Linked DNA regions of Danio rerio. The protein of the gene in region 2 interacts with the protein of the main gene of each other region in a pairwise test. Links are inferred from orthologs where the notes say so. Each region holds a gene or a part of one and is shown on either strand. Other genes may lie near its edges. The genes, in order: srrm1 and clk2a.

Evidence for each region.
Region 1: the proteins of clk2a (region 2) and srrm1 interact in binary tests that used the Homo sapiens proteins (3 or more experiments, as listed by UniProt). The two-hybrid records come from large-scale screens. The link is inferred for Danio rerio from reciprocal best matches to the Homo sapiens genes CLK2 and SRRM1.

What each region holds. Positions count from the first base shown.
Region 1 is NC_133192.1:26,818,372-26,834,785, reverse strand, and holds the start of srrm1 (serine/arginine repetitive matrix protein 1), read right to left. Parts: upstream 10,421-16,414; 5' UTR 10,290-10,420; intron 7,263-10,289; coding exon of another isoform or gene 7,248-7,262; coding exon 7,092-7,247; intron 6,987-7,091; coding exon 6,892-6,986; intron 6,675-6,891; coding exon 6,480-6,674; intron 6,283-6,479; coding exon 6,091-6,282; intron 5,989-6,090; coding exon 5,872-5,988; intron 4,878-5,871; coding exon 4,702-4,877; intron 4,528-4,701; coding exon 4,447-4,527; intron 4,166-4,446; coding exon 4,079-4,165; intron 3,912-4,078; coding exon 3,770-3,911; intron 3,319-3,769; coding exon 3,226-3,318; intron 3,135-3,225; coding exon 2,391-3,134; intron 2,314-2,390; coding exon 2,139-2,313; intron 1,504-2,138; coding exon 1,327-1,503; intron 1-1,326. UniProt on the Homo sapiens protein: Part of pre- and post-splicing multiprotein mRNP complexes. As a component of the minor spliceosome, involved in the splicing of U12-type introns in pre-mRNAs. Involved in numerous pre-mRNA processing events.
Region 2 is NC_133194.1:10,201,508-10,217,947, reverse strand, and holds the start of clk2a (dual specificity protein kinase CLK2), read right to left. Parts: upstream 7,029-16,440; 5' UTR 6,916-7,028; intron 5,141-6,915; exon of another isoform or gene 4,850-5,140; intron 4,717-4,849; exon of another isoform or gene 4,354-4,716; coding exon 4,154-4,353; intron 1,560-4,153; coding exon 1,292-1,559; intron 1-1,291. Other genes in the region: setdb1a (histone-lysine N-methyltransferase SETDB1-A), read right to left, coding at 12,911-13,028, 16,090-16,178, 16,265-16,440. UniProt on the Homo sapiens protein: Dual specificity kinase acting on both serine/threonine and tyrosine-containing substrates. Phosphorylates serine- and arginine-rich (SR) proteins of the spliceosomal complex.

The DNA.
Region 1 (16,414 bases), on a different chromosome or scaffold from region 2:
AGTCTTGATTTCTGCTGCAACAGTCAGATGATAGTGTCAGACATTGGTGTCAACAACATGAAACCATAGATTTATCTTGCCTTGTATCAATGGATCAGGCTCGTGGTCGTGGTATAATGGTGCGGGGGATAATTTCTAGGCACACTTTATGCCCATTGGTACCAATTGAGCATGGTGTTAACGCCACAGCCTACCCGAGTATTGTTGCTAACCATGTACATTCCTTTATGACCACAGTGTACCCATCTTTGTATGGCTACTTCCAGCAGGATAACACGCCATGTCAAAGCACGAACCATCTCAGACTGCTTTCTTGAACATGACAATGAGTTCAGTGTACTCAAATGGCTGGCACCTGAAAGATTACTCTAGCCTAGTGCACTGAGCAAGTCTGACAGTGTTGATATTTACAGTAATGAACATCTTTACAGCTGGGTCACATCATTTATCCGAAAACAGCAACGTTGGATTCCAACATTAGATGGGTAACAGTCATAGATATTTACATTGTATATATCTATAGGTAACAATTCCTTTCATATGCGCATCTTTTCTTTTAATCGTCTTATCCATTAATGCTACTTTTCATTGTGAGAATACAATGTGTGGCACACAGTTACCAACTTCTGTGTCTCACGGTTAAATGCGTTTTTTTTGCCAGGCGTGTTTGTGCACCTGTGCTGTTTTTCGTTTCATTTCAAAGATCGCATAATTTCTCCGAGTTCTCTTCTGCTTGCTGCATGTTGTTTGTGTGTTTCTATGGCAATGCGGGGGAAACTACAGGAGCCCAGAGGTAAAAAAAACAATTTTCATTCAAACAAATCAATGTGAACTTACTTCACACTCGAGTTACCCAATAAAATCTATTTATCGCCCAGCCCTAATAGAAATAGAATCATAGAAGGGATGAATATATATATATATATATATATATATATATATATATATATATATATATATATATATATATATATATATATATATATATATTCAGCAACAAAAATCAACATTTTTTTTCCAGAAGGATATTGTAATATGAAGACTAGAATAATGACAGCAAATTCTGCTTTGCAATCACAGAAGTCAAATACATCTTAAAATATGTTGATGTATGCTAGTCATGCTAAATTTTGTCATGCTAAATTTTAATATTTCTATTTTTTTTTAATAACTGCAGGATTTGTAAGCATTACAGACGTTTTTAACAACCATTTACAATGCCTTTCTGACTCCAAACATTTTAAAATCGCAGTGTGGTAAAATGAAGAGATGTTTGCATTACACTGGAGAATTTGCTTTTAAACAGCTTTAAAAGTGTAACTTCACCTTTTTCTGGTCAGAGTCTGGCTCTGCTTCCGGTCCATGTCCTCCTGTCGCCCCACCACTCTTTTCTTCTCCACCCTTCTCCTTTTTCTGTTTCTTATGCTTCTTGTGTTTCTTATCTTTCTTGTGTTTCTTTTCTTTCTTCTTTTTCTTCTTCTTACCACCTTCTGCATCAGAGTTCTACAGAACAAACAAAGATGTTTAGCAACTGTAATATACACTTTTTTTGCATTAAGGGTGTTCACACTGGTTGTTCAGTTCTTTTGGTCTTGACCAAATAAGAAACACATTTAGTATACATATAATTTAGTATATAAGTTGACTTTTATTCACGCTTGCTCACACTGTATGTGGGTGCATTTTAGACAACTTTTTTAATCAGTTGGAAAGGGTAAGAACTTACAAATAGTGCACAAGTAGAATTTCTCCTTTACACACACAATTAAAAATCTGTTTCAAATCCATTGCCTATATTGAACATTACATTTTTAACTATACAATAAGGAACACAGTGACTATGAAAAAAATTAGGTGTGCATGAAAACTGTCCCTGAACCTCTTTTTGGTGGGCATCAAGTTCAGATAAGAGCAATCACCTCAATAAACAGCATTAACAGAGCAACCGCACACGATTATCAAATCAAACTTTCCAAGTGTGAACACACCCTATTTTGCATAAGGTAGACCCTAAACCAGATGTTTTAATAATTTTATATTTCTAAAACAAAAAGGCTGAAAACTCTAGAAGCCAAAAAACAAACCAAAGCTTTTAGGATGCAGAGGTGTGGTTCTCGCTGATTGCAAGAGTGGCATACCTTGTTAGGTGAAGGGCTCGGGGAGACACTGCTGTTCTTTTTGGCAGGTGGAGGTGGAGAACGGCTAGTGGAGCGAGAGGGTGAGACTGAAGCAGGCCGCTTCTGAGCCGGAGGAGGAGAAGCAGATGGTGAACGTGAAACCTGCCTCCTTTCTGGCGGAGGACTCTGAGAACCTCTACAAATGGACAGCAACAATCAAACATTCGCACATCTGCATTACACAAATAAAAGCACCGCTCTATAAAAACATACCTCTGCGATTTGCGCGGTTCTGGAGTGCGGGAAACCCTGCGAATGGGTCTGGTGCTGTGTGATGGTGATGTCTGCCGTCTTTGTCTCTGCGGGGAGGAACCAGAGGCTCCATATCTACCTGGAGGACTGGAAGACACTCGGGTAGTGTGGGCAGGGGGAGAGGACCGGGTGTCTCTGCCCCGTTGGGCTGCAGGGGGATTTGGAGAGTTTCGGCGGTGACGAGGAGGAGGTGAAGCAGAAGAGGGTGGAGTACGTCTTTTTCCTGGACTGGTGCCACGACTCCTTTTGGGGGATCGAGAGGTGTGACGTTTAGTCACAGGGGAAGGTGACCCTCTATGCTTGGGCATGGGAGAAGGAGAACTTCTACGTTGCGGGGCAGGTGAGGGAGAATTTCTGCGTTTAGACACAGGTGAAGCACATGTTCTACGTTTAGACATGGGTGATGGAGACCTTCTGTGTTTAGCCACAGGGGAAGGCGATGTTCTACGTTTTGACACCGATGGAGATGTTCTGCGTTTTGACATCGGTGATGGAGACTTTCTGCGTTTGGGGGGAGGTGATGGAGACATTCTGCGTTTGGGGGGAGGTGAAGGAGGTATTCTACGCTTGGGCATGGGTGAAGGAGACCTTCTTCGTTTGGGGGGAGACCCTGATGACCGTCTCTTTTGGGCTGGAGAAGGGGAGGGGGGACTGTATCGACGCTGAATTGGGGGAGTAAATCGCCGGGGAGGTGGAGATGGAGACCTGAGACCGGAAGGAGAGAAGAAAGAAGACTCAAAGCAAGATGCATTTCAAACCAAATCCAGAAGAGCTCAAGAACTCAGCTGAACCTTACCTGCGTCTTGGGGGAGGAGAGGGTGACCTGCGGCGGCGAACAGGAGATTGTGAACGATGTCTACGTCCAGGAGGTGACGGAGAACGTCTTTTTCTGAAGGATAAGACAAGATTTTCATACCAGGATACAAGGACATCTACTTTTTTTTTTTTTTTAGAATAAACTCCATTTGTTTAAAAGATTAGCAAGTTTTGGGAGGCTTTGGAATGAGGAAAAGTAAATGTAAAATGTCACAACTTCACTGGCTGCATTGCATTATCGATCCACTAAAAACTTGCATGTTGATAATCTACATACTTCACGTTTAATAGCTTATAACATAAGCGGTAGGGGTTAAAGTTTCTCATTATTAATAATGCTTTTCTCTACACAGCCTTTTTAGTGCCACATTCAATTTGGATGGACATACATTAGGACTAATAAAGGTTTTTTTTTTTTTTACCCAAAAGGGGTAAAAAGTAGATTGACCGAGTAGATTGACCTTTTAGGGGTATTGTATGTCAAACACAGATGTAAAGCACATGCAAACATTGTTGACTTGTACCTTGGGGATGCATCTCTGTGCCGCCTCCGTGGTGATGCAGGTGAATGACTCCGTCTCCTCCTGATTTCACCATTCCTGGCACCTGCACCTCTATTCTGCCTCCTTGGACCTTCATCTTCAGATGAAGAGGATGAACCTGTGTCTAAGTAAAAATAAACCCAACATGACAACAAATTGAAACAAGTACTAGCATATAATATCCACACAACTCCTAGGTGCATGTACAGGTCTGAGAAGGAGGATAGAGAGAGTCAGAGAGAGAAGGAAAGAGGACAAATAAGTGTGAAGTAAATTTTAAAAGGTGGTAACCTGAAGAGGATTGCTGATTTTGTCTGCGATACTGACGTCGCTGCTGGACAGAATCTGCTGTTGACCCTTTGCCCAACTTATCCTCCTCTGAAACGCAAAGCAAAGTCCTTCAGTGCCCAAGAAACAGCCTCATGCCCAAAAACACACACCAATGATATACAAAAGCACAGCCAAACACCTGTTACATGCACCACCTTCTTAATCTTTGAAGCCGCCATAAGAAACTTGTACCACAAGAGTTGCTATACAATAAGTTTTCCATACGTAACAGTTTTTCTAGTTTAAAAGCCAGAGAGACTTTTTGACAACCTGCCAGCTTCTATAATGATATTCATTTCAATCTGCAAGCTTGAAGAGCCAAGCCTCACCTGAATCTGATGCATCAGATCGCCTGGGTTTTGGAGAGGGAGAGCGAGAGTCATTTCTTCCACCAGGCCTGTGCTTCACAGCTGAAATTTTTAGATGCATTACAGTCAGAATCACTTTACTGCCAAAAATATACTATACTCAACATGACAATGAACGCTTCAGATTTACACAACAATGTACACAATCTATAACCACAGGTCATTTATTTTCATTTAAGCCATTTTAAATAAAAAGAATTGCATTCTATGATGTACCTGAAGGGCTGGTGTCTGGTCCTGAAGGACTGCGGCCTCGTCTTCTTGGGGGGCTGGAGAGGTCCGTGCGACGTGCAAGTTTTCTGGGTGGGGTCGCTGACCCTCGTTTTCCTGCTCTCTTGTGGGGCGACCGAGAGGAGGAGCTGCCTGAGGAGGAGCGGGAGCGAGACCGCCGCCTGGTGGACCAATAAAGTATAGGTGAAATTCGGTAGTTGAGATGCAGATGACAAAAAAAAAAAATAAATAAAATAAAATTATATATATATATATATATATATATATATATATATATATATATATATATATATATATATATATATATATATATATATATATATATGATTGAAAATACAAATTGTTACAAAATTCAGTGTTAATTCGATAGGACTTAACAGTAGCATTTAAATAATTTGAGCTTCTTTTTTAACATTAGCCAATTTAGCATTTTTTTTAACAGCCATTAGTAGGCCCACACAAAATCTGCGCCACAGAAATCTGCAGATTTCCAGATTTTCAGTCCATCATGTCCATTTAATTACTTGTGAAAGTGAGTGTAAATTTGTATTTATTTAGTTTTTAAATAATTTCACTAATTACTGAAATATAATAACAGTAACATATTAAAACGTCCATAGGATTTATTGACAATATAGTTTGTAAATTAATATTTTCTGTCTTTTAGTAGAGATATACAAGAGACTTGCTTTGTTTACTAAATAATTGGATCTAATTGGATTTGTAAGGTAAGCATTAAATAAAAAGTATTTTTTTATTTCATATATTAAGTTTTTAGTTACGATACTCCTAAAATCATTCCTCAAAAATACTTCGATTTTTGTTTTTACTAAATTCTAAGCAGAAATTGCAAAAAATGTTTGCAGATTCTGTCTGGCCCTAGTCAGTCATATTTTAACATTAGTATTCAGTATCTCAGGTTTCAATAGAAATAATTTTAATATGATTATTTGGCTATGAAGAAATACTGCATTTCATTATAAATCATCCTTGTTGCTTGTTTTTTTTCTGGACACTTTTTTCAAATGAAAAATTCAGAAGAACAGCATTTATTTGAATCAAGTTTTTTTAATGGTCTTCACTATTACTATTTGATGAATGGATCCTTGCTGAATAAAATATTGCTGAAAAAAAAAGTGAGAGAGGGAGACTTACCTGCGAACAGGTGAGCGGCTACGTCTATGTCTAGAGGGAGGCTGGCGTCTAGGAGGACTCCTCCGTCTCGGAGAGATTCGCCTTCTGGGACTCGTTCTCCGGCGAGGAGAGAATGACCTACAAGTAGAGATATTATTTAACCCATAAATCACATTAGCAGGTAAACAAAAATAAAATCTAAGAAAAAAAAATAATGCGACTTCAAATAACATTTCTCACCTAGAGCGGGATCGAGGTCGTCTGCGTGAGCGAGGTGATCGAGAACGAGAGCGGTGGCGTGGACGATCTTTGCGCCCATCCTTCTCCCTGTCCCTGGGTTTAGGCCGGTCCTCTGATTTTGACGTTTTGTCTGGAGAGGACTCTTTCACAGGCTCTGACACTGAGTCCGGCTTCATTTCAGTCACAAGATCACTAACAGATGAAAATGACAGTTTATTATATCAGTCTGGAAATCCACAATGCTACCAAAATTCTGCAATTTTTAGGTCATTCTTTTAGATTGAAAGTGAAACTTGCATATGAATCTGAATCTGTTTTCTTAAGCATTTAAGAGGACAATGGTAACTTGAAGCAGTAAAATCTAGAATATGTCAGATTTCCAAAGTCACCTGGTAGATGAAGCTTCCTGAATGAGTGGCTCTGGTTTGGAGCTCTCTGACTGGTCTGGTTCTCGCTTCGGTTCTTCTTTATGATTGGGTGGACTGGAAGGTGGTGAAGCGGCTGGGCTTATTTTTCGTCGAGGAGAGCGAGAACGAGAAGGACTGGATTTACGATCACGCTTCACAGGGGAGCGAGACTTTCTCCTGCAATTAAAAGAGAAGCAGAAAAAAAAAAACGCGATTTAGAACAAGGTTGATTGTTATGCAACATTTTATATCATTTACAGACAATTGTGACAATTTGTTAGTCGCGATTTTTTTAAGAATAAATATTTATTTTATGAATTCAAATTCTGACACCACAAAAACAATAGAAAAATAATGGAAAAATCAATGAATAAGGATCTAGAGCAAAACCAACCGTTTAGGGCTTTTTGACTGAGCTCTTTCTTTGTTCTCCTTCTCCCTTTTATCTTCATCTACTTTTTTTAGAGAGGCGAGTTTCTCCTGTTCAATCTGAAACAAGCAGAAGGAAAAGTTTAATTTTAGTATAATTACAACATCAGTTAACACAAAACCAATAAAAATGAGCAAATGAGATCAGACCCAGTTCTTCATCACCTGTCTCTGTTTGATCTCCTCTTTCTTCTGCTCCAGGAAGGCTGATGGGATACCGGCAATGTTCTCCTGGGCGCTTAACAACAGTGGCCAGAGGTCTTTCATGAACTCCCGAGCATTCTTTCCATTCAGAAAACCTGTCAAATTAATCTGCATCATCTTTCCATCTGGATTCTGCAACACAAAAAGCAGGGGAGGAAGAGAGAAGGGGAGAAAACCAAGCAGTTAATACTGACACCGAACAAGAGCACAGAATTCTGATAGTCTACCTAGACCTTCCTTTCCTGAACATCAGTAAACAGCTGCTTTTCAACAAGAGCCCAGTACCTGCGGGCCTCAAAATGGTTTCTATAACCAACAGCCACAACAGAATGTTATGCATTTATTTTTATTTTTTTTACTTTTAAACCAATTGAATGAAAAAAGTTAAAATCAAGAACACTTTTAAAGTGTATAAACTCCCTCTGAGCATGCATTACAAGTTTACAAGGTATCATCTGAACTGAGATGAACCCTCCCAGTTCACATCCCCCCGTCAAGGAGCAATAAGACCCTCCCAACCACTATGGCTGTCTCATCCTGTGCAATATCAAACTCCTGAGAGATAGAAACATTACAGTCCACAAACAGAGTGCATCAAAACCCCACAAAGCAAGAACAGTCCAGTTGTCTTCAGTGTGAGTGGCGCAGGCTCTGTGGGCTGGGGGGGCGGAGAAAGGCGCTCCATTGGCTGGCCTCCGCCTCACTACCGCATCACACTCAATCACCTTGAGTTTAATGCTATATCATTTATCTAAATTGCAAGAGACGAACAAGCAATAATGAGTACACAAGGCATAGAAAAGGTTTTATTAACAACAAAATGAAGAGGAAAATCAATCCTATTAGACCCGTTAACTAAGACACACGTGCTAAATCGTGCTCCTGAAGATGTGCACCAGAGTTCGGTTTTAAGAAGAGCTGGAGCAGAAGTTTGCAATGAAGTAGATCTTCAAGAGCAGGACTGAGCACCTGCTGTTCTAAAATAAGGCCTATACAAATGTGTCTGACTTTATACAGGTCAAGCTCTCTCAACAGGATCTGTGGAATAATTGAAACATTTACTTCTTTTTTTAGATGCCAAAGACTTTTAAGTATTGACTTACTTGCATTCTACAGCAATGAATTTATATTGGCACAATGAAACCATGCGAGGAAGAGTGATATATATATCAGTTATCTCTGTGTGCGCTTGCATAAAAACATTTTGAAAATCTTATATAATTATGGTGCAGGCTCTTTAATAAAATACTACAATATTATCCAGTAGGGCTGTGCAATTAATCGAAAATCCGATTTTGGCTTCCAACAATTATGAAAAACCATTAATCGAGATGAACGATTATTACATTATTTACCGCCCCCTTTCCAGTTGTAAACATTTGTTGCTCTTAAAAGCACGAACTAAACCGCATGCTCCTGTTTGTGTGTGTGCAGCGAGCACACACAGTCAGAAGCATGCGGTCAGCATTCGGTCTCATTCGCACACGGTGACGAGCAGAGCGCACATCTAAAGTCATTAATGTGAGCGTTTTAATTTTCAAATAGGCGTCCATACGCGGTGTTTAGTGATTATTCATATTAACCCTCATTTGTGTAATAAACAAACGAGTTGAGAATCAAAAGAAACGTAAAAGCGAAACCTTTAAAGTGACAGCGCACTATTTCTGCTACCGCCTGTTTCGATCAGTATTAATCAAATAAAAAAAGGAGAAAATCCCTTACTGCTCTTGAATGAAGGACTTTTGTAGCTTAAGTGTTATTTTATTGTATTTATTTCTCTTACCTTTGCAGGGAGGAAAATAACTGTTGAAGTCAGAATTATTAGCCCTCCAGAATATTAGCAACCCGTTTCCCCCAAATTTTGTTTAATGGAAACATTTTTTTTAAACACATTTCTAAACATAGTAGTTTTAATAACTCATTTATAATAACTGATTTCTTTTATTTTTGCTATGATGACAGCACATGATATTGGACTAGAAATTTTTCAAAATACAAGCATTCAGATTCAAAGTGCGATTCGAAGGCTTAATTAGGGTCATTGTTAAGTCATTGTGTAACAGTAGTTTCTTCTGCAGACAATAAAAAATATACATTGCCTTAAGGGGCTTATAATATTGACCTTAAAATAAGTTTCAAAATATTTAAACCTGCTTTTATTCTAGCTGAAATAAAAAGACTTTCTCCAAAAGAAAAAAATATTAGAGAAAATACTATTAAAATTCCTTGCTCTGTTAAACATAATTTGGGAAATAATTATTTAAAAAATTCACAGGAGCACTAATAATTTTGACTTTAACAGTAATCATTTTGAATAATCGTGATTACAATTATGACAAAAATAATCAATCGCAAAAAATCAAGTAATGCACCCTTCATTTAAATATGCGAGCATATTTACTATACAAAAAAAAAGTTAATTAATTGTTAGCAAGTTAAAATGTTTATTCAAGATTTTGATTTTAGAGTGATTCAACAAACTTTTTATTCTTTTCATCCTGGCAGTCATAATCGCTGTAATTAAATTACAAATAACTGTAATTAAATGTTTTATTTTAACAAAGAAAAGATGACTAAATTATTCTCTTAGGTATATCATATTATTCCACAAACACTGTTGATTAAGCTCAACTTGAAGAATTTCTTCAAATTACTATATGGCTATGCCATGACAAATTAAAAGTATGTTTTAGACTAAGGAAACACCTTAATGTATTATAAATAAGAGCAAATACCTCTCTGGAATCCCAGCAAAATCTTCCTGAAAATTAAATCTGTACAGACTAAAATAGCAACTAATACAGAGAGCCTATCTAAAACAGATAAAAAGGGTCACGTCTCTTTTTTTCGTACTGTTTAAAGGCACAATCATACAAAAAACAAAGTCTTTAATAACTGACAGATGAGCAAGTAACTGAGACTCAAGTAAAAAAAAAAAACAAGTCTCTTACACTACCAATGTTGTACTGCATTATCATCCTACATGCAAAATCATCTTTTCATTTTATTCCTTAATAGTTTTCATTTCCATAAAAGTGATAAATCAGGCCTTTATGTTTAAGATGTACTGCTAAACTTTGACTAAAACAGAAAGGCACAAATGATCAAGCTGAAATGACTCTACCACTGGCACAATGTCAAGCCCTGCTCATAACTCACCTCAAAAAATAAAGCTCATCATCAAGGGAGAGTTGGATTCAGAGAGACTTTGGGCTCAGTTGAGATCTAATTAGGAGTTGGTGCTATACTTCAGATGCAAGGAATAAGATCCATATTGGTTCAGGCCTTTTAAATCATAAATCACATCAACATTAGAACATTGCTGTTCAGAAGGAACGGTGTCACAAATCATTTCTTCAGAGAGAAATATATCTTTTTACCCCCTTTTCTGTCTTTTTTTAAATCAGGCAGACAGTTTAACACTGTGATGTTAGATGTTTCTGCTGTTACATCTTCACATGACAAATGTTTCAAATAACTGTCAGCGGTTATTCATTGATCTTCAAACCTTCTCTTCTTTCCAAAGCACAACACATCTAATATAGACTGCAGCATGTGTATAAAAAAATAAAACAAGAGCGGGAAGAGCAAGGTGGGGGTCTACCTTTTCCTCCAGCTGGTTAAAGACAAATTCAATGACCACATCATCCTCGAAGCCAAGTATCTCTGTCACACGCTGGGTTATCCAGGGCTTGATGACTTCCAGGTTGACCTTGGTCATATCCACCTAAAACCACATCATAAAATAATCATAATTACAGGATCTTTACTTGTATTGAGCTAAAAATGGTTTATTGTCAAATTACAAATCAGAAATAACCTAAAATGATGATTTGCTTTGCAAAATTACTTTGTATAAATACCTAAATTTTTAGTTCTTCTAAATATTACTTGCAGAAAAAGAAGCCCCGTTTTCACTGCTATAAAATGTGTTTTTACATGTACACTAGGGCTGCACAATATATAGTTTCAGCTTCGATATTGCAATGTGTGCCAGAGATGCGCGGTTGGCGGTTATAGCCGCGGACTCCGCGGATAAACCGCGGATCGGGCGGATGACGTTACGAAAAAATAATATTTTAATTAAATTCGGGCGGGTGGCGGGCGGTTGTACTGTTTTTATATTCATAGCTGGCGCACCAACGAAAAAGCCTAGGACTGACTTCACAGAATGGGAGGAGGAATCGGATACATTAATTCTGGATGTAGTGTACAAAAGTATTCCTCTACAAACTTCCGTATAGACGGATCAGCATAGGAAAATCTACTTTCCTTTTGGGAGAAATAAGGCCAGGCATTCCCATGACTACAGCACCTTTCCAAGAGAATTCTATGCATTTCAGCAACAAGTGCTGCGAGCGAGTGCTCCTTCAGTGCAGCAGGGCGCAGTGGCTATGCAGGCACTCCCGTCTGAATCCTGACACTGTAGATGCCATTTTATTCCTGCATTGTGCCAAGAAAAAATCAAACTAGACCTAAGGTCAGGCATATTAAACCAATTAGCCTATGTTATTTAGGCTGCACATATGTTCAATATAAACTTTTGAGTTTGGTCAGCTGATAATTTTACGTTCATATTGGTTTAGCCTATTCTATTCTAGACATGTTGGCCTCGCTTTTACGTTCCGAGGCTAAGGTTATTTTGCCAGAATTTCTGTCGCAAATTTAATGGCGTAGTATTTCGTTATGCTTCAAGTTTGAGGGGAATGGGGATGATCCTAAGTCCATGGGTTATTGGGGCACTTGTCATACATGCACTTAGCCTTGTCAGGTTCGCTCAAAGAGGAATGGCATATCTATTTTTCTAATTTAATTTCTAATTGTGGGGGTGACTGAGCCTACAAGGCTTAGGCACAATATGACGTTTTTATTAAAAAATTTTCAACTGTTTGTCAAAGCATGCGACAATAGCCTATGCCTACATTAAGATATTTATGTTATTTTTTTTTTACTGCCTGTTGTTTCTTTTGGCATATAAAATAGGTATTGTCTGATAGAGATATCAATAAAGGTTAATCTGTGTCGCAGAACTGTGTTGTTTCCGATTTCTACAAGCTCAATAACATCCAAAGCAAAAAATAAAAAATAGTCGAAAAACTGTGCCCATTAATTATATGTGGAAGGCAAGCAGGTACATTTTTGGGGTTGCTATGGACAACTACAAATGTAAACATTATTAGGCTATAATGCAAATGACTTATTCTATCTATTTACTAAAAAATTAAGTGAAATAGGCATTTAGTAGTAGACTAAATAGCAGCATGTTGAAATGATGTGTCAATGCGTTTTCTATTAGGCTACAATAAAAAAAAAAAAGTTGTACAGTACAGTGCGTTTAATTTAGGCTATTTATTTACTTTTGTCCCTGTGCGCCGATTGGAGACAGAGTTCACTGCTGATATTCTGAGAGCTCGGGTGCTTCTCATTTCTTATTTGTGCATCCTCGTTTCCTTTCCTTGCTTTCTTTCCTCGTGTTTCCACCCCACCGGGATAACGTTACGAGGGAAGGACGCAAGGAAAAGACTGAAGGACCGAGGAATCGAATCAAGTGAAAAGACACGTCCTCGTATCTTTAGCGTAACTTCAAAGCGTCGTCAATTAATGACTTGCACGTTTGGATTAGCTGCATGTCTACATTAAAGTCATTCTCTATTATATAATGATCAATGAAGAAACATTCATTTAATAAAAAAAGGAATAAGCCATTCAAATAAAGAGCCCAATCAGCAGATGGCGGGCGGGTGCGGTTTTAAAAATTGGTCAAAAATGTTAGTGCGGATGGATGGCGGACGGATGATGAATTTTGTCATGCGGTTGCGGATGAAATAATAGTCCATCCGCGCATCTCTAATGTGTGCATCTGCAATAGTCACATTGCAAGATATGCATAGTTGAGTCTGAATTATAGTTGGCAGGAGCTACAGAATTGTATTTAATCACTCTATTTATATAAAACTTATCCGATGTATAAAAAAAACAGTTTTTTTTAGATTGTTTGTCTCGTTTTTAATACAAATATCTACATTTCAAAGCAAAAACAAGATTATTTTTCTCCACTGGAAGATAATTGGTTTTTTTTGTTTTTAAGAAAAACCTATTTTTCATTATTTAGCTTTTTTTCTTCTGAAGGTTAAAAAAAATATAGCTTCTTTAAATAAGTATTTTTAAGGGTTTCTCCACCTTAAATTGGAAAGGACAGTGGTGGATGCAAACAGGAAGGCATTGGGAGCAAAGAGAGGGGAAGGGTTAGAAAATCGCACTCAGATCGCTGTGAGCACCTTGGCGTTTTATGTCGGCACGCTTATCCACTAGACTATTGGTGCTGACTAATATTGTTATTTGATCTAAGAATGAAATATCAAAACAAAAAAGATTTTTTTTTTGCATTGCGATTAGTCAATTTCTGTACCTGAATACTGTTTATAACAGGGATTATTTCTGAATACCCAGAAATCATATAGAGATATTCAAACCACCTGGTGAAACTATTAATATTGCAATATTTATCACAGAAAAATAAAATATCGCAATATCAGAATTTTCCAATATGGTGCAGCCCTAATGTACACAATTTATAATTACACCACTTTTCAGACCTAGGACGACCTGTTGGTTGGAATATGCACTGTGTAATAACCTTGAACAATTTTCAGACTTTGCAAAAAAAAAAAAAAAAAGATTTACAATTTAGTTATTTATTGAGAACACTCTTAATGTAATGTTAAGAGAACATTTAGATATGATACTTTCCAGGCTTTAAACTAAACAACTAACGTTACAGTGAAGTTTAAATCCCATCTGGTCAGGGCTCTTAAACTACACGTCACTAATAGTTACTAATGTATCAACGATTTTGTAACATTATAGATGTTTTTACTGTCACTTAATGCATCGTTTGTGAATCCAAGTATAATTATGTTTAACTTTTTCTACCTTTTTCTCCAGACATTCTGCAAACTTCAGCTGCTTCAAGAGTTTCTTGTGTTTGTTGCTGAAGCGGTTATCCTGCTCCGCACTGGTGCCCTGAAATCATAGAAACGCATCATTAAAACAAAACGTGCTTCGAGAAAACAGGAACAAAAAATTCATATGGTTACTTTTCTTCCATTGAAAGGCCGAGGCAAAAGAAATGCGAGTAGTATTATTTCACCCTTTCAGTGGGATATGAGTAATCATGTATATACGCAAAAACTAGACTAACGTTACACAGATTATTAGGCTAACGTCGTAGCACAGGACCACTTAATTTCGGTTTCAGTCTGTATTACACATGCGTAACATCGCTAATCCCAGAACCGCTGACTTTTTTTAACGTTACATTTGAGTTTATTTGTAACAACAATTGTGATAATAGGTAATTAAACGCGCCTATGTCTTCAAATCTGCTGTTCCTGTTAATCTGTGCGGTATTTTCTGGTTACCTCACGCAGCCGCCATTACAGCCACACTCCAATGAACACATATAAAATATCCTTAAAACAACGAGCCGGTCAAACAATTGATAAACAATAGATGCATAACAACACACTCGATGTTTATAGAGCATAATTTGTAAAAGAATATAACACTTACGCGGAAAAAACCCGCGTCCATTTCTGTCGTGTGTCAATATGGCACGATGTCCCACAATCCACTGCGACACGATAGCTCTCTGACCTCACTTCCGGAAGTTGAGCAGTCATGTGCCTAGAGACGGTCTTTAATTTCATTATTTTAAAATAAGATTTTTATAAAAATTAGTTTTACGATATTTCAATGATAATGTAATATAAAACTTATTTAGTTACAGTGCTGAAGAACTAGCAAACATTGTAATGTAAACCATTAACTTTACAGGAGTTGGTTTCCACTATACATGCTATTAACAAACCAGTAGGCCTTCTTATGTGGTTTAAAAACGAGTTTTGGGACATATTCATTTAGGATTTATCTTATGTACATTTTCCCCCAAATTCAAAGTACTTATCTTGCCAACAATGGAACTCAGCAGAAACTCACACTACAGATTCATTTAAAACCAACACTATTTCCATTATACGGAAATTAAAGTAAGCATTAAAGTAGCATTGTAAATTCTGTTAGAGTTTTGGAAAATTTGCTTTATTATTTGAGCTTTTAAGAAAATTATTTGAATAATAATAATATTGCTTATATTATTTGATCGTTTGAACATTTGAATTAATTTTTGTAAGCAAAACACTTCCATATCTTTTGTACAACTTTTTGGTGTACTTTTTTTAGCATATGGTCTTCTTTGTTAAGGCTGTTTTCCAATACATTTAATTCATTGCAGTAAGTATTTGAGACTTCTTGGAAAAATAAAATGTGATAAACATTGCCTCATAGATCCATCTTTTTTTAATTAATTTTAAAACCCATAATGACAAAAGACATAGACGGTGTGCTGCTTTAAAGTCGTTTATTTGACATACACTGCATCTTTCCAGTTCTGAATGAGAATCATTAGCAACTTGTGAGGTTGAGTGATAACTGAACATTAAGGCGGTTTAACACAATATCTTTTGTCCAGAAATCACAATTCCTTCTATAGAAGGGAGACTTTCAGACAGGCTGAATAAAAAAAAACACTCCCTTAAATGGTGAGGCCTCTGCTGGTGTTTAAGCCAGCAGTGTTGCTCTTATGAGTAAACAGAAATGTAAAAAATACATTTCACTTCACAGTGTATAAATAATACATCAGCAGCGCTGATAGATTAAGTACTTAGTTCACACCACCACACTATACATTGTGAATCCAGAGCCCTTCGATAGCTGACTCTAAATAAATAAAGCCATTACAGATCATAATGGGCTGAACAGAACCCAAAATTCAGGCAACTGTGAAATTCTCACAGATAGCAGCTGGAACAAAGGCAATATTGATTTTTTCCTTGATTCACGCTAAAGCTAGTAGTGGTTTAAAGCTTCTTCTACCCATGAATGTGTTCAAATCGAGGTGGACTGTTTACATCTTGCACACAATACATGGTCTGGAGCACTGTAGAGTGAAAGATATCTAAAGGTTTTACTGCATTTGTGCAAATGTAGCATCTCTGGGCCATTCATTCCTTTCCAGAAAAGTTGTATTTTGATTATAACATCAGAACTATAAGAGTCCTGAAGGTGAAAACTGGGGCCAGAATGTTTTTCAGTGCTGACCTTGCTAACTATGTCTAGTACATAGAGTAATATCATTGCATTAATATTGCTATCATGTTCATCATCGTCATCATATCCATTTGCATTTGTCGTTTCTTTTTCCCCCCAACAACTTAAAAACTATG
Region 2 (16,440 bases):
AACATGTCATGGCCAGAAGCAGCTTTAGACTGTATGAATATGGAGCCAGATCAGTCTCAAAAAAATAAAAAATAAATAATAATAATAATAATAATTCATACATGCACAGCACAATTCACAAAATCCAATTTGTACATCTGTAAACAGTTTGCAGATTCACAAGTAAAAATCATATAGATTTTCACTAAATGAATTGGATTCGTGCATTTATGAATCGTGTTTTGAACTCACAAATTGTATTTGTGTATTTATGAATCGTGTTTTGAACTCACAAATTGTATTTGTGCATTTATGAATCGTGTTTTGAACTTATAAATCGGATTTGCATATTTATTAATCATGTTTTGAAGTTACGAATTGGATTTGCATATTTATTAATCATATTTTGAAATTACGAACTAGATTTGCATATTTATGAATTGCTTTAAACTCACGAATTGCATTTGGATATTTCTGAATAGTGTTTTGAACTTACGAATTAAATTTGCATAATTATGAATTGTGTTTTTAACTTACAAATTGGACTTGCAAATTTATTAATCGTGTTTTGAACTTACGAATTGGATTTGCATATTTATGAAGCGTGTTCTGAACTTACGAACTGGATTTGTATTTTTATGAATCGTGTTTTGAACTTACGAATTGTATTTGCATATTTATGGATTGTGTTTTGAACTTACAAATTGGATTTGCATATTTACGAATTGTGTTTTGAACTTACAAATTTTTTACATTTAAAAATTTGTGTATTTGTAATCATGTTTTGAATTTATGAATCAAATTAGCATATTTTTAAATAGTTTTTATATTTAAAAATTTGTTGTGTATTTTTGAATAGTTTCTTTTAATTAATGAATTGAGATTAAGTCACGAAATGTAATTATCGGCAGATAGTGATCTTTGGCTGATCGATCGGAGCATTCCTAGTGTGTAGATAGAGAATGGATGAGATTTATAACATAATTAAAGAGGCTCTTGCAATAAAAGCATTACTATTCATATTTAGAATAAAATCTACAGTGATTAATGTGAGCCTTACATTAATTTGTTAAACACAAGGCCAATTCCATTATAAAACACTGAAAGCCAACATATGGACTATCACTATTTAAAAAAAGACAAAACATCAACAAAAAGAAGAACATAAAACAAAGGAGTTCATACTTACCAAATCCTGGGGCTGTGGAAAAGAACAGCGTTATGGGGAAAGAGAGACAGGAGCGTGTAGAGGTGGAGAGAGAAGAAGGGATTTGGGGAGGGAAAGAGCAGGCTTGGGTATTGAAGTACTCACCGAGGAGGATGCGCTATAGGACCTGGTTCTACGCCGCCTTCGTTTGTGCTTACGCCTGCTGCCTTTCCTCCGGTATGAGTCCTCGCGGTCCCGGTCGCGTCCCCGGCGAAAGTCGTAGCTGGGCGAGGCGTCGCGAGAGTAGTAGTTGCTCGGCGTCCGGTGATCCCTGTTTTGATCCCTGTCCCGTTCCCTGCTGTGGTCCAAGCGCCGGTAGCTCTCGCCGTAGTGTCTGTCGTATGGCCTGCGGTCTGAAGAACGGTTGTCGTAGCTGAGGAGAAGATGAAAGAGAGCTCTGAAATCAGATGCACCTCTGATAAAATGCTAAACTCCTAATAAGTTGTTGATCAGGTATAGCAGACAAAAACATTTGCAATACAATTTAAATTAAAGTCATTAAAGGTCTCCTGAAATTCAAATCTTTTTTTTTTTTTTAGATGTTGTATTGTCAGTATGTTAGTTTTTAGGATATCTACAAGCTAGTGTGCTACAAAATAGACAATATTAGCACTTCGAAGATATAAACACTTAAAGTGTGCAGTTTGTCACTTACGTCTAAATGGATCAATCACTTTTTTTCACGTCACTTTATAATTTAGATTCTCATTAAATCTTCTGACCAATCAAATGCTCTCTAGTATCTGACATGCCCCGCCCCCTTCAAGATACTTTTTATTTGATGCGCTTGAGCTCAACCACTCACCAGCGGATCTGTGATACAAAATGCTATTGGCTGTATTTTAAAAATGGGAGGGAATAGTCTGTCCCACCCTCCATTTTTCTGTTGAGATTACGTCAAACATTAAATAAAACTTCACAATTCAAAGCACTTTCATGGGAAAGTGTATAGGGGTGTACCCTATGTAAAGAAAGTATACCCTATGTACAGTTGCCTTGAAACTGGGCCGAAGCACTCGCATTGCATTCACACCTGAGCACGTTTACACCATCACTGAAGCGCTGTTTAATAAGAAGCACTCTCGCTCAGCATAGTGGAGATTTCGTTGGTTATATCGTATTAGTTGTTTGAGATTCCAGTGACAGTCAAATATTTCACCAAACAGATCAGCCACTTGTGAGGCTCATAAACAATCAAAGTCCTCGTGCTGCAGGATTTAGGTTTGCTGAAGGTACAGCTATCATGCAGTGAGGGTTTTGCATCTTTAATAATCTACGTCTGTTTGCGTTCATTGAACAGTGAGAATGATTAATAAACACATGAAAGACTCCCATAAAAGTCACGACTCGTCTTCAGTTTCGGGCTCAAGCGCGCTTTGCACTCACACTACAAGTGTACCACGCCGAAGCCAAAGTGAACCGCACTCTGGCAAACCTTCCAACCAGGCCAGGGCCAGCCAACTGAACCGTGCCTGACCCCAATTCAGAGCACTCACACTTCTCAAACGATCTGGAAAACGGGCCTGGGAATGGTTCGGACAGCATAGTGCAAGTGCGCCCTTAAATTGCAATAACACTATTATGCATTAGTAGATATTACTGATACTGAATGTGTGGATGCATAATTAGTGGAAGGCAATTATTTTGTCTAAAAATAAATAAATAGATAATCTTTGCTGTTCTTGTTTGCAGAGCTGTGGTTATATAATAACATGACTATAATTTCAATACAATATAAATATAATACAGTACAATCTGCAATATTATGCTATTTTATGATTATATTATAAATATTATAGCAAATTATTTTTGTAATGAAAAACCGAAGTATAACTTCAGTGTCACATGACCCTCAGAAACTATTCTAATATGCTGAATATGCTTAAGACATTTTTGTAGCTTAACATTTGTTAAATTATTTACTAGAAATGATTTATGAAATCAAATCAAGAAAATATTAGTATTGCAATTTTCACTGAAAAAAAGCATCATTACCCAATTTTCATTTACAGTACAACTAAACTGATGAGTTTGGAGGTTAGGACAGACGGCAACCATATTACTTGAAAAATCTGCTCAATTACGCCCAATCCCAATTATATTTTTGTAGCCCTCCCGCTTGGCCCTTAAAACAGAGTGTTAAGGGGAAGGGCTTCCAAATGTACCCTTAAGAATTGGGACAGCACCTGCACACGTCATCGCGATCTCATGCTTTATATAAGATCAGACAATCAGCTGTAGTTATTCCAGTTGTGTTATTTATTTATTTTTTTGATAATATATGCCTTCAGTGACTTCCTGAAGATAAATATGTTCTCATAATGATCTAATGTGGCAATAAGATGATAAATATACTGTGCATTTACACCGTGGCCATATTCATCTACTGTATGTAAACACACAGCAAAACAACATTAACACTATAGCAGACACTGTAAAAAGCTCATTTCCAGCCACTAGACCTTACTGACAGGGTATTCGAGTCTCATCAGGTGTCAAAATGTTGTGGAACTGCTGTACAGGAGTTATTATTAGCGATTATAGATCGTAAAATTTAGCGTTTTTTATTTTAACAGGTTTTTTTAAAAGCATGACGGTAAAACAAACGCGGTTATAAATATATAAAAACATGCTTGTTTGTTGTAAAAAGTTGTAATAATGACAATAAAAATAATTTGTGGATCTCCTTACTTCCGGGTGCAACTATGGCTGGTGTATTCTGGGAAATTTTCTGACCTCTTGGTTTCGAGCGTGGTCTTGAAAAATCTTCATTCTAAGGGGTATCTACCCCTTGCGATTAGCCCTACGCCTCTAAGCTAAAAAGAATTGGGACAAGGGGAAGGGCTAAGGGGTAGAATTGAGATTAGGCCTTCCTGTTAGTGAGTGGACTTTTAAGCTCTATAATAATAATAAACTGGTGAACCAGGTTGTTTGTTTTCCAGCACTACTCAATGGAAATGTTTATACCTCCTGGATCTGGCATAGCCGGTGTCCTGTCTGTGTCCTCTCGCTCTCCTCTCACGTTCACTGCTGGAAGAATAGGTTGGAGAGCGGCGATGTCGAGGTTTTCTTCCTCGATCTCTGTCTCTGTCCCGCTCTCTATATCGATCTTGGTAGCTGCTGCGGCTGGCCCTCTCCGAGGACGGATACCGCCTGGAGTGTGGCATCTGCTTGAGTTGAAGAAGGAAAAAATACTAATAAATTTTTTCAAAAAAAATCAAAAGAAAAAAGTAAAACAAGCATTTAAATAGTTGCAACAGCAAAAATCTTTTGAGCTGTGGACAATGTGAAAATGTATTTTTCTCTGATGAGTCCATCATCACTCTCTTTCCCACATCCAAGAGAGTTACAGAGTGGAGAAGCCCCAAAGAAGTGCACCACCCAGACTGCTGCATGCTCAGAGTGAAGCATGGGGTGGATCAGTGATGGTTTGGGCTGCAATGTCATGGCATTCCCTATGCCCAATACTCATGCTAGATGGGCCTGTTACTGCCAAGGACTACCGAACCATTCTGGAGAACTTTGTGCACCTAATGGAACAAACATTGTATACTAAAGGCAGTGCTGTGTTACATACCAGTGGTAAAAGTTGTTCTTAATTTTTTGTTTTTTCTTCATAGATTTAGAATTAATTTTTGTACGAAACTTTTAATAAATCATTACCTGTTCGTGAAAATGCCCATATGCACATTACATGCATAAAACTTTGTGTATACAGGATGAGGATGTATTAAAAATGTAATTTGTTTTATTTCAACCATGTCAAATAAAAAAAATCACTTAAAATATAAACTTTTGTATAATACCTAAATTACAATTTTCCATAAGTACAGATAAGAACAAGCATAATGTTTTTTTTATTTTTATTTAAATCAATATATCAGTTACGATAGAACGTCAATATATGAGTAAAACAAGAAAGATTTAGATTAATTGTTGTAAACACCAAAATGCGACGTCTCATCAATTCCGAACTTTTTTTAAATAAAAAATAATTTTCAACTAATTATTATTACTAATTCTATTTTTTCAAACTGATATCTAACAAATTATCTAGCCCTGTCATTAAAGAGATCAGAAAAATGTACATTTACTCACACTTAAGTGGTTTTTATGAGTTTCCACTGTTGAAAAAAAAGCTGAAAACCTGTGACCACTGACTTGCATAGCAGGAAACACAAGTACAATGAAAGTAAAGGGTTACAGGTTTTTATCTGTCTTCAAAATATTTTCTTTTGTGTTCAACAGAGGAAAGTCAAACAGGTTTGGAGAAGTAAACGATAACAGGATTCTCAATTTGGGGTAACCTAGCCTTTTAACAGGGTGAAGCAGTGGCGCAGTAGGTAGTGCTGTTGCCTCACAGCAAGAAGTTCGCTGGTTCGAGCCTCGGCTCAGCTGGCGTTTCTGTTCGTAGTGTATGAGTGTGTGTGTGTGTGTGAATGTGTGTGTGGATGTTTCCCAGAGATGGGTTGTGGCTGGAAGGGCATTCGCTGCGTAAAAACTTGCTGGATAATTTGGCGGTTCATTCCGCTGTGGCGACCCCGGATTAATAAAGGGACTAAGCAGACAAGAAAATGAATTAATGAAAAACTTTTTAACAGAAACAATAGACATGGGGGCGTGGGGAGGTATCTTCTGTATTTTATTTTCACTATTATTGAATTTAGGACAAGTGTGACATTTGTGGGGAGTTATTTGGGACATGATAAAGCAGGTGTTAAGACGACACTTGGCACAGGCTTAGACATTAGCATGAGAATGAAAAACACCACATTACTATTTATATTGTTTTTTATATTTATATTTTTTGCATGGATGGCACTTTGTTACTGCCATGCAGTGCTTAAAAACTGAAAAAAAGACGCCTCAGGTCTGCAAAACATTGAATACTACACATCAAAAATATTATACAGACCAGTTTTAGATTTTATCAGGATCTTTATACACATTAGTAAACATATATAATATAATATAATATATATATATATATATATATATATATATATATATATATATATATATATATAAATAATATAGTAAAGCAATAGAAAATAATTTTGAGTTAAAAAAATCAAAATTAATTAGATTTAAAAAATAAACATTTAGCCGAACCAGAAGAGGATTTGAAACGAAGAATTCAAACAAATAATCTGAAAGCTAGATGACATAACGTTAACTTACAGCACTTTGAAATGCTGCGTTTGCCTGTGAAATTAGCCGCAAACTAGATCAAGTCCCAGTTATTAGAGCACACTTCTATATTTAGCCAAAAAACCACAGACACAGCGGTAACACGCAAATGCTTTTAACTGTGAAATAACGATGTCTTAAAAAAAAACAGAAGTGTAATAACATGTAGAAGTGTGTCCAGCGAATTATGACTGAAAACTGCTGTAAAGACAAGGTAAGCTAACCAACTAACGCTGGCTTAACTTGTTATTTCTAATCGCTATTTTTATGCTCGTTCATTTAACGTAAAGTCGCCATGTATCACTCGTCTCTATGGCATAAATGTGAACTGTCGTTTTTGGTGCAAACACGACGCACAAGATGATGTCGCAACGTTTGAAAACGGCAGCTAAATGTGATGTTTTTTTAGCAGAGTTAGCTGCTATCCTCGTCGACGGCCATTTTGAGATCTTCTAATCTTCAACGGACCGTTTCTCTAAAACGCTCCTGAATATTTGAAGGGGAAAGTGACAGACAGCGAAATAATGATTCGTAATCACCGTTTGTGCAGCCAGCCCTGTCCGTTTATCCCAAAGAAAATCCGTGTTGACGCTTCGGATCCCAAATTCTCACTCAAGTCTAATTATTAAACGGTGAAGAAAAAAACACTTCCGGCCCCTCCTCCCGACGCGTCTTTATACCTATACGCGCGCGCGCATCACTTTCACCGTCAACTCGGACAGTATGAACAGTCTCATGAGTTCCATATTCCACCAGACCGCACACCACAGAGAGAGAAGAAAGAGTAATAAAGCCAATTATGATATGGGGATGGTTAGGAGGCCATGATGGACAGAGGCCAGTGGGTAAATTTGGCCAGGATGCCGGGGTTAAACCCGTACTCTTTTTCGAAAGACATTCTGGGATTTTAGGGTACATGCTGAAGCATGCTAATAGGACTTTTAATTTCCCAAGTAACCTGGGTTAAGCGCTTCCGGCGAACTGTATGCCAACGGAAAAATCTGCACGTTTTTAAGGTCTGTTTTCTTTAAAAATCAGCGATCTCCACTGGCTGAGTGATATCAGATATGAAGTGGGCCTCAGATTGTACTAGAAGCACTGCATTAAATTACATTTTCCCCGCCATGTCTTTATAATATTAGCATTGGAGCGACTGCGCTATCCTGCCGATTCTGACGGGCGAGTGCGAGTAAAAGGCCTTTTGTCTCGTTTTACGCTTGAACAACTAAATGAATGCCAAAGTTTATTTAACTGAATGTATTTTAATTACATTACAACATGAGTGCTGTAAAAGGAACCGGAAAAAATTGAAAAAAAAAAACTCACAATAACCGGTCACCGGAAGTATATAAGTATATGGGAACAACACTAGCTCGGCATATACCCAATTATATTCATCTGTCTCCATATTTTGCTGCATCTCAGAATATTACACAGCACCAAAAATGTAAAAATATATATATACTGAATATATTTAATATATTTTTGTGTACGGCAGACGGCAACTCGCCGTGACGCAGATTCCCGAGTCTGTGCTCCAATCAGGTGAGCCCTCTTCAGCGCTAGCCATGACAACGAGATAGCAGTGACGTGCCTTGTAAAAATTTGCATCTGCATTCCTATAAAGCTCGTGTGCTCTCTGTCAGCGTTGTCAGTTCGCTCGGTGTTGCTGTTTGTACTTGACCAAGGTGAGTTCAATACCGACGGTACGAGTGGAGCCACGCCAATCTCACGAAGTCCGCTTCGTGAAGCTTCACTCGGGCCCGTCTGTGCTGTAGTTCCTTGTGGTTTGCGTACATAAACGCAATATCGCAAGGAAGATTACGTGTTTGTTGCTCGAAATGTGCCGCCGAGCAACATCCAGTGAATACTGGCACGGCCTGGCGCCCGGTTTTCTCGTGCACTCCCTGGGGCGAGGCGGCCTTTGAGCCCTAGGCAGGGAACAAACAACCCCCGAGGACCCTCAGGGAAACACGGGGGGCCGGTAGTGGGACCTCGCTGCGAGGGTTATGGTGGGTGGGAGTAGCGAGGCCCACTCATCGTCTATTTTAAACTATAGTTTCAAACTTTAGTTTACTATAGTTTGAAATAGACACCATGGTAACTGTTATGATTAAACTTTATGCAAAGAGCTTAGAATGACCAAGAGCAACAGCCCCGGATTCCGCCTTTTTGAAGTGAAAGCGATCGGCCGTGCATTGGATCTCATTGCTGTCGCGATGGACAGCAGCTGCTTTGTTTATATTTAATTTATTCAAAAAGCGCGTTATTGTTTCCCAAATTGTAGAGTGTCGCCTCTTGGTGATTCTATGCTCTTTGCACTTTGTCAGACTGTTGTAATGTTTTGCTTTGTTTTTCAGCTAAGCTGTTGAGCAAAGAAGGACTATTGAAGACAACAGTTGAAGACAACCGCGGGTTATATTCACGAGCGCGTGCGTTATAATGTTTCCGGGTTGTTTTCTGAAAGTTTGTCTTGTTTGCATGTCAAACTAAATAAACGATACTCTTTCTAAACAGCTGTCTCGTGTTTTATTTGTCCTCTAAAGCCATGCACTGTCATGTAAGTCTGTTGAATGCATTTGTATGCAACATGGTTTGACAATACAGTCTAACAAATAAATGGTTGTTATAAATGTACCTTCATTAGTCAACAATTTATGTAGGTAATAAAAAGTTAATCAAACATATCCTAAGACATAAGGGTTATGTTACGGTTATTTCATAACTATATTTAATATTATTCTGTATGATTAAAACCAGCAAATTATACTATATATTTAACATGTCATGAACTTACTGTTATTTTAAAATATGCTTAATAAAATGTCCTAAGACAAGAATGGGTGTTGTTTTGGTTTTATGGCAACCTACAGTAGGATTAAGGTTGACTACAGCACGTATAGGCTACATACATCATAGGGAGTTTTTTAATGACTTTTAATGCAAAAGTCTAATTTAAGTACATAAAATGCAGTTTCCAGCAACAAAATTTTGTCTTGTGAAAAAGAACAGTGTTGTGGTGAAAAGAAAAGTAATATCAAGTTATATATATTTATAAAAGAAGTTGAACAAGTTGTCATAATATTTAATCATTAGATTATGTGACCGCTAGATGACGCTCAATTAAAAGGAGCGTTCATTTCAAACGAGCGCTACTCTGTACTGAAATGGCGGCTCTATTGACGCATTCCTTCGAATAGACAACATCAGGGTAGGCGACATCCAATGTATATTTCTATGGTAGCTAACTAGTATTCACGTCACATCATGCTCAACTCTTATTACTCTTTTACGCTCTTTGAGAGTCTTGCTGGGATTTCAGAATCATATTTAGGCAACTATGATGTAGCAGTACCGTCTGTGTACCTGTACCATTGTTACACAATGCAGCATTTAGCAGCATTTTGGGGGGGGGGCTTTGCCCCTTCAGAAAGAGTGAGTTTGTGCCCCAGTTTTTATAAAGGATTGTTCACTCAAACTGAAAATTCTTTCTGTCATTAATTATTAACACCCACGTCGTTCCAACCTTCAGAACACACATTTAAATATTTTTAAATATATGACACAGCAATTGAATTATGAGAATGGTGAGATTAAAGCTAGTCCTATAGTCCAGAGACCCCGTTCTATTCGGGAAGATGTAGCCTAATAAAAATGTTTTAATAAAAATAAATAGTTTACGGCACAGTCCCACAGTAGGCTACACTATAAATAATACTTTAATTTATTTATTAATATTATTATTAATATTATTATAATTAAGCGAAAATTGACAAAACGCAGAACCCTTTGAATGTTTGCTTTCATTTTGCTAAAAAGCGCACTTTTACAGTTGTGTAGAGAAACATCCCATTATGCAGCAGCAGTCAAGGTATAACACAAAATAAATGCCTTTTGCGTTTAAAGATGATCAGCCTGCGAAGTCAAGTTTGCAGTGTTATAAATGGAATAGGTGTAGTGCTTAATTTGCTCATGCAAAATTAAACAACATAAAATATATTGTAGATCTATTTTAGGAGCTAAATACAACATATCGAGTTTGTTTTGACTTGTAGCTCATGGCCCTAAAATGAAAATAACCTGAAAACAAGCTATTAAAAAAAGGCTTAATAAATAAAATAATTAATAATTTAATAAAATGACGGGTAGGCCTAGTAACCTAATGGTTTATGATGGTTTACAATATCACGAAAAAAGCACACTTATAGCCTAAGATAAATCTTTGTTTTTAAATTTTAAATGATGAAAAAAAAGTTCTATAGCATATTGAGTTGCGTGTTATCCGTGCCAAAATTTAACCAATTTTCACGGTAATAACATGGGAATTTTGGTATCTTTTTTAGGTATTTTTCTGGCTACAGTAATGCCTCAAAAATTAACTAAATAATTATTTTAAATGACATTAGATTAGCTTTTCCCTAACACTGATGTTGGTTGGGTAATAGGCTACGTGAAGCGGGATGACTCGGTTAAGCTGATTTCACTATATTTATTTACCGGTTAAATGAAATGTCTGATCGTGCGTCAGCTTGCATGTGTGGGCATAATTTGACGTCTTTACCTAAAACTTTAAGCATTCATAGGTCTGTTATTTGAAATAAAACGGAAACAAGGAGAACAACATATGATTTAAAGCACTCGTTTGGCACTGAATCCATGATCCGTCTGCATTAATAAGCGGTATGCATTACCCTCGTTAATAAAATTCTTAATATCGAAACTGCATATTGTTATTACTATTAAAACGTAGCCTATATTACTGCCTTAGGTCTATCTATCCTTTTTCCATTATTGATTCTGTTTATTTACTTGCGTATATGTGTGTAAATTTATATTTATTCAGTTTTTAAATTAATTTCAGTAATATTATTGACTAATATGAAAATGTTGATGTAATTTATGTACAATATAGTTTGTGAGGTAATATTTTCTTTCTTTTAGTAGATGTATTATATAAGAGACTGCCTTTGATTTCCAAATAAATTGGATCTAATTGGATTTGCATTGTACACATTCACTAAAAGTTTAAAATGTGTTATTTTTTATTTCATATATAAAGTTTTAGTTATAATTCTTTCAAAATAATTCCGCATGAATCCATTTTTTTTTTTTTACAAAATTCTCTGCAGAAATAGCAAAAAATGTCTGCAGATTCTGTCTGGCCCTACGCATTACCTTTAAAAAATGAGTAATAATATTTGACTTAGTTTTTAGTTGAATTCGTTTTTTAAAAATAAATTGCTGAATTAAAATTAAAGAATTCACAATGAATTACGCAGTCGATTATAGAACGTGTTCATTATTTTGAATGCTTGGAAGAAAAGGAAAAGGGAATTGTCCCAATAGAAAGGGATTTTATTTAAGACAAACAATGCTGAAGTAGCAAGGACATAAGCTAAACTTTCAATAATCAGTACAGCATGTAGAGCTCTGAGGTCATGAAATTCTAAGATAACATTATCCTAAAATATTTTTTTGATGTTTATTTAAAGGTAAATGGAGGTGTAAGTTATATAGTGTGCGTTTTATACAATAATAATAATACAAAACCTTATTGTCAGACTTGCATAGCAGCATGATAAATACCTTAAAAACATACAAAAAAAAATAATATTAATTTTACACAGACATTATTCTGCTCCAAGACAGCCTGATGTGCAAATGACTTTTTAAATTTCACTTTATTAAAACTTGGCACTCTAAATCGACGGTTCGACTTTAATGGTATGAATTTAAAATTTAACACAGGACTAGGATTCGAAATTTTGTTACTTCCCTTGTGAGGTTCTTGTAATATGAACAGTTATTTAATTTCTCAAGAGGCTTTTCTACTATCTTTGAAAGATTTTTATAAATGTGTATTTTTATAATTGCAGAACTCCTGTATTAAAAAAGAGAAAGTTCTAGGTAATAAAAAGTATCACAAAAGTAATGCAATGAGGTAACTTTCTCCATCACTTATTGTTCAGTTAACCAAATACAACAACAATAGTTACCACAATAAAAAACTACAGAAAAATAACCGTAATCATCATTTAAGACAGGGGTGGCCAGCCCTGTTCCTGGAGAGCCACCTTCCAGCAGATTTCAGTTGCTACCCATATCAAACACACCTGAATCAATTAATTAGGACCTGAACACCACGTGATAATTACAGGCAGGTGTGTTTGATATGAGTTGCAACTGAAATCTGCAGGAAGGTGGCTCTCCAGGAACAGGGCTGGCCACCCCTGCTTTAAGATATCATTCATAATCACCAAGGTTTCCGCACATATTTGATCAAATAAACAAGAAGAATAGTTTGAATATTTCCACATTTTATTTACATCGTTGACTACATTGAGAGTATTCATATTTGCTGTATACATTAAAAACAATAAAAACAAACGCAACAACACAAACTTTAATAAATTTTACTATGCTTTTCGTATTCACTGGGTTCATGTGACGAGGACGCTCCTATGAACAGCGCCGTTACTATTTCAGATTGGCTGGTGAAGCAGTCTATAACAAACGAGTTAAAGTGTTTGATTTTCAGAGCAGTCTTCCAGTGCAGCGCAATGAGCCACAGCAGCAGAGCAGCACCTTTCCCTCCACACTGCCCACTTCATAGTTATAATCCCACGTCAACTCTGTACCTGCCTTTATGCGCCTGGTAAAGAGAGATGGAACAAAAAATGCATTTAAAACACGTCAAATAATCCTCTATATGACCAATAATATATGGCTAACAATTCAGATCATTAATACTTTATACATTAGATTGTGCTATACGCTTTATTTATTGTTTGTTTTAATGCCTTATTAGTGACATCGGCTAAATGCATCGAAACATTGATATTAACAGTCAATACATCATTTACAAACATAACAGTTTCTTAATTAACAAGAATTATTTAAATATAAAGAAAATGTACAAATGACAATAATACTGATAAACAATCATATACGATCTTTCAATGGAGTCCGTGATATTCTACAGCTGTTCCTGAAAACATTTCCCTTAAGATAATTTCCAAACAAAACATTCTCTATAATAGCTACACAAATACACTTTAAAAACAAAGAAATATAATAGAATATATATAATAGAAATAAATATACACTATTAAAAAGTTAATATAAATAGTTATTTTTACACAAGTCACAAATTGGTGTCTCTTGCTCTTTCTATAAACACGAGTGGCCAATTCTACATCTAACCCTACACTCTTCACAAATCTCTCTTTTAAATTAATATTTTCCATAGGATGCTTTACAGCAGGGATCACTAAACTTGTTCCTGGAGGGCCGGTGTCCTGCAGATTTTAGCTCCAACCCTAATCAAACACACCTGAACAAGCTAATCAAGGTCTTACTAGGTATACTTGAAACACCCAGGCAGGTGTGTTGAGACAAGTTGGAGCTAAACCCTGCAGCGCACCGGACCTCCAGGAACAAGATTGGTGACCCCTAATTTACAACAATATATTTGTATATATACATTAGATTAGTCAGTACTGAAGCTAAATCTGGAGTTTATCAAACAAAATAACTTATGAAAATGGTCTAAAAATAGGTAGTTCAAATTGATGTTATAAGAAAAAGAGCAAAAATCAAAAAGAAACAAAAACATATGGAAATTGTTGACATTTTGTAGTTTGTAATTAGCAATATTTCACATTAATTTAAATAATTTTTCTATTTCTAAAGATGTTCGGTGACAAAAATATTAATTTGAATAAATATATCCGTTTTAAAAAATCAGCTTTGTTCAAAAGTACCATAATATATGACCTATTTTCACTGAGAAATGGATAAAAACATTCATTTTCAAAATGGGGTGTAATCATTTACACCGAGCACTGTACATCCTAGGGTGCGTTTCAGAAAATCATCAATAGCCAACTAAGGTCGCAAGATCCATCATTACAAACATAGTTTGCTGATTTGGTTTTCCCAAATCCATCGTTCACACATACATTTGCAAACTGCGTCACAAACTTGTACATTTGCAAATACACCTCTCGAGCTGTAGTTAGAAGCATAGTTCCGGTTGTGTTCTACTCCCAGTTCCACCACTAAGCCCTATTCATTTAGAACATTCCAACATATAAACGTGAAATGATTAAATAAAGCGATCTTCATACTGTCATTTGTGTTCCTTTTGTAGTGCACTTTAAAATCATTTATGCCATTTTGAACACAGAATATATTATTGTTATCATTATTAATATTAAGTAGGATATTGTTTTTTTATTTCTTAATAAATAACCTACTATAAATTAAAGCCTTTAACGTGATTATTTATATATGAGATTATAATATGTTAGCTTTTGTAAATGATTTTATGTTTAAGAATAGAATATGTGATGTTCTCAATTATCTTTGTAAAGGAAACATGCGCCCTGTATGTGCCATTTACATACATTTCAATTATTATGGAAAACGAGTGTATGTTTTTACTAAAACTAATACTGGATATTATTTTATGCCTGTGTGTGTAAAAGACACAAAACATTTATTGGGATTTTCTCCAAAGAAGTTGTTCCTCCACCCAGGCAAGGATTGGCTAATCGAGAGGACCGGGAGAATTCCTGGTGGGCCGGGCCAATTTTTGACCGCGAGGGCCAGTGTCCCTAGCTGCTTGCACTGTCAGCAGTCGCACTTTTTCATTTATTTATTTGACCATAGCCACACTCTTTTTTTTCATTACTTTGCCACATCTTTGCTCTTTTTATTTATTTTCTCGTAGTTCGTGGGCAAAATGCAGCCTGCAGGTTACTGATGATGTATCATGTATTATTCAACCCTAAACTGCGGCACCTTGGTGAATAGAAGAATTCGAATAATTAATATTAATGAATATTACACCTGCTCAATGAAAATCAGATGATTCACTACACTAATAAATCTGACATAACTTGATCAGAAATATTAAAAGGGGAGAAAGATTAAACCATCAATAGAAAGTAATACTGTGGTTAAAAGAGTCTTGCAGATGACGGTGCAATACTTATTTTTTCTTCCAAATGCACTTGAGTAACAGCGCCATTGTGGTCCAGTGTTCAGTGCTGCCGATCCCAATTTGATCCTCACCCAAGTTTTTTTTTTTTTTCTATGTTTAGAGTTAAGACATAGGTGTACATATTTTATTTGAATTTTTTGTGTGATCACCGTTACAAAGGACTGGATATCTAAAAAAATTCTGCACAGAATATATATTCAGATATTGCAGGAGAGAACAGTATTGGAGTGTTGGAGATTTAGCTACCCTTTAATGTTCTCATATTTATGAAAAACATTTAAGTTCTAAAGCAGCTGTGTCCTTGAAAAAAGACGTGACAGTGTCATAAGAAATGAATTGGAAATGCTGTTATTTTAATATAGTCAGTGGTGAACTGAGGTGGGCCGGTCTAAGGCTTAAAACTCCAGGGCTGAAAAGGATTCCCACTCCGGCCCTGACTCCGCCCCGTTTAAAGCGTCTTTTTGGACGTTTTACCTTATAACTAACGTGGTTCAAACGATGGACCAGCAACAGAGAAACTATGATTTTGTCAAACACACTAAAGTCTTTGTTTGGGAAACGCACCCCTGATTGTGTCAAAATTTCTTTAACTTACTAATGTTATATGAAATGCTGTTCTCAAATCAAACACTCATTTTTAAGGACGGCTGATTTATCTACACCCTTTTCACATGAAAATCAGATTGGTGAGAATTAAGACACTGACTTGCTAGCAAAGAAAGCCACCCATGGAAAGCGGAGGTCGTGTGTGTCCACAAAGACGTTCTGGACAAATAAATTGGGGCTGCAGCTATGCTGTTGAGAGAAATTGTAAAAATGTTAAAATTAAAGTACCATTAAAGCATTGTTCAATTTTGATAACAATTCCGGCTTTTGCTTACGTTTATATAACGGCCGAGGTTTCCCTCTTGCCGAGCATCAATGATGTAACAAGCGTCCTCATCGTTGAACAGTCCGCGTGTGTTTTTGGGAGTTTTAGTTTTTTCTTTCTGTGCTTCAGTGCTTTCTAGTGGTTTTACTCTTCTCTGGAATGACTTTATGGCAAAGCATCGCTTCG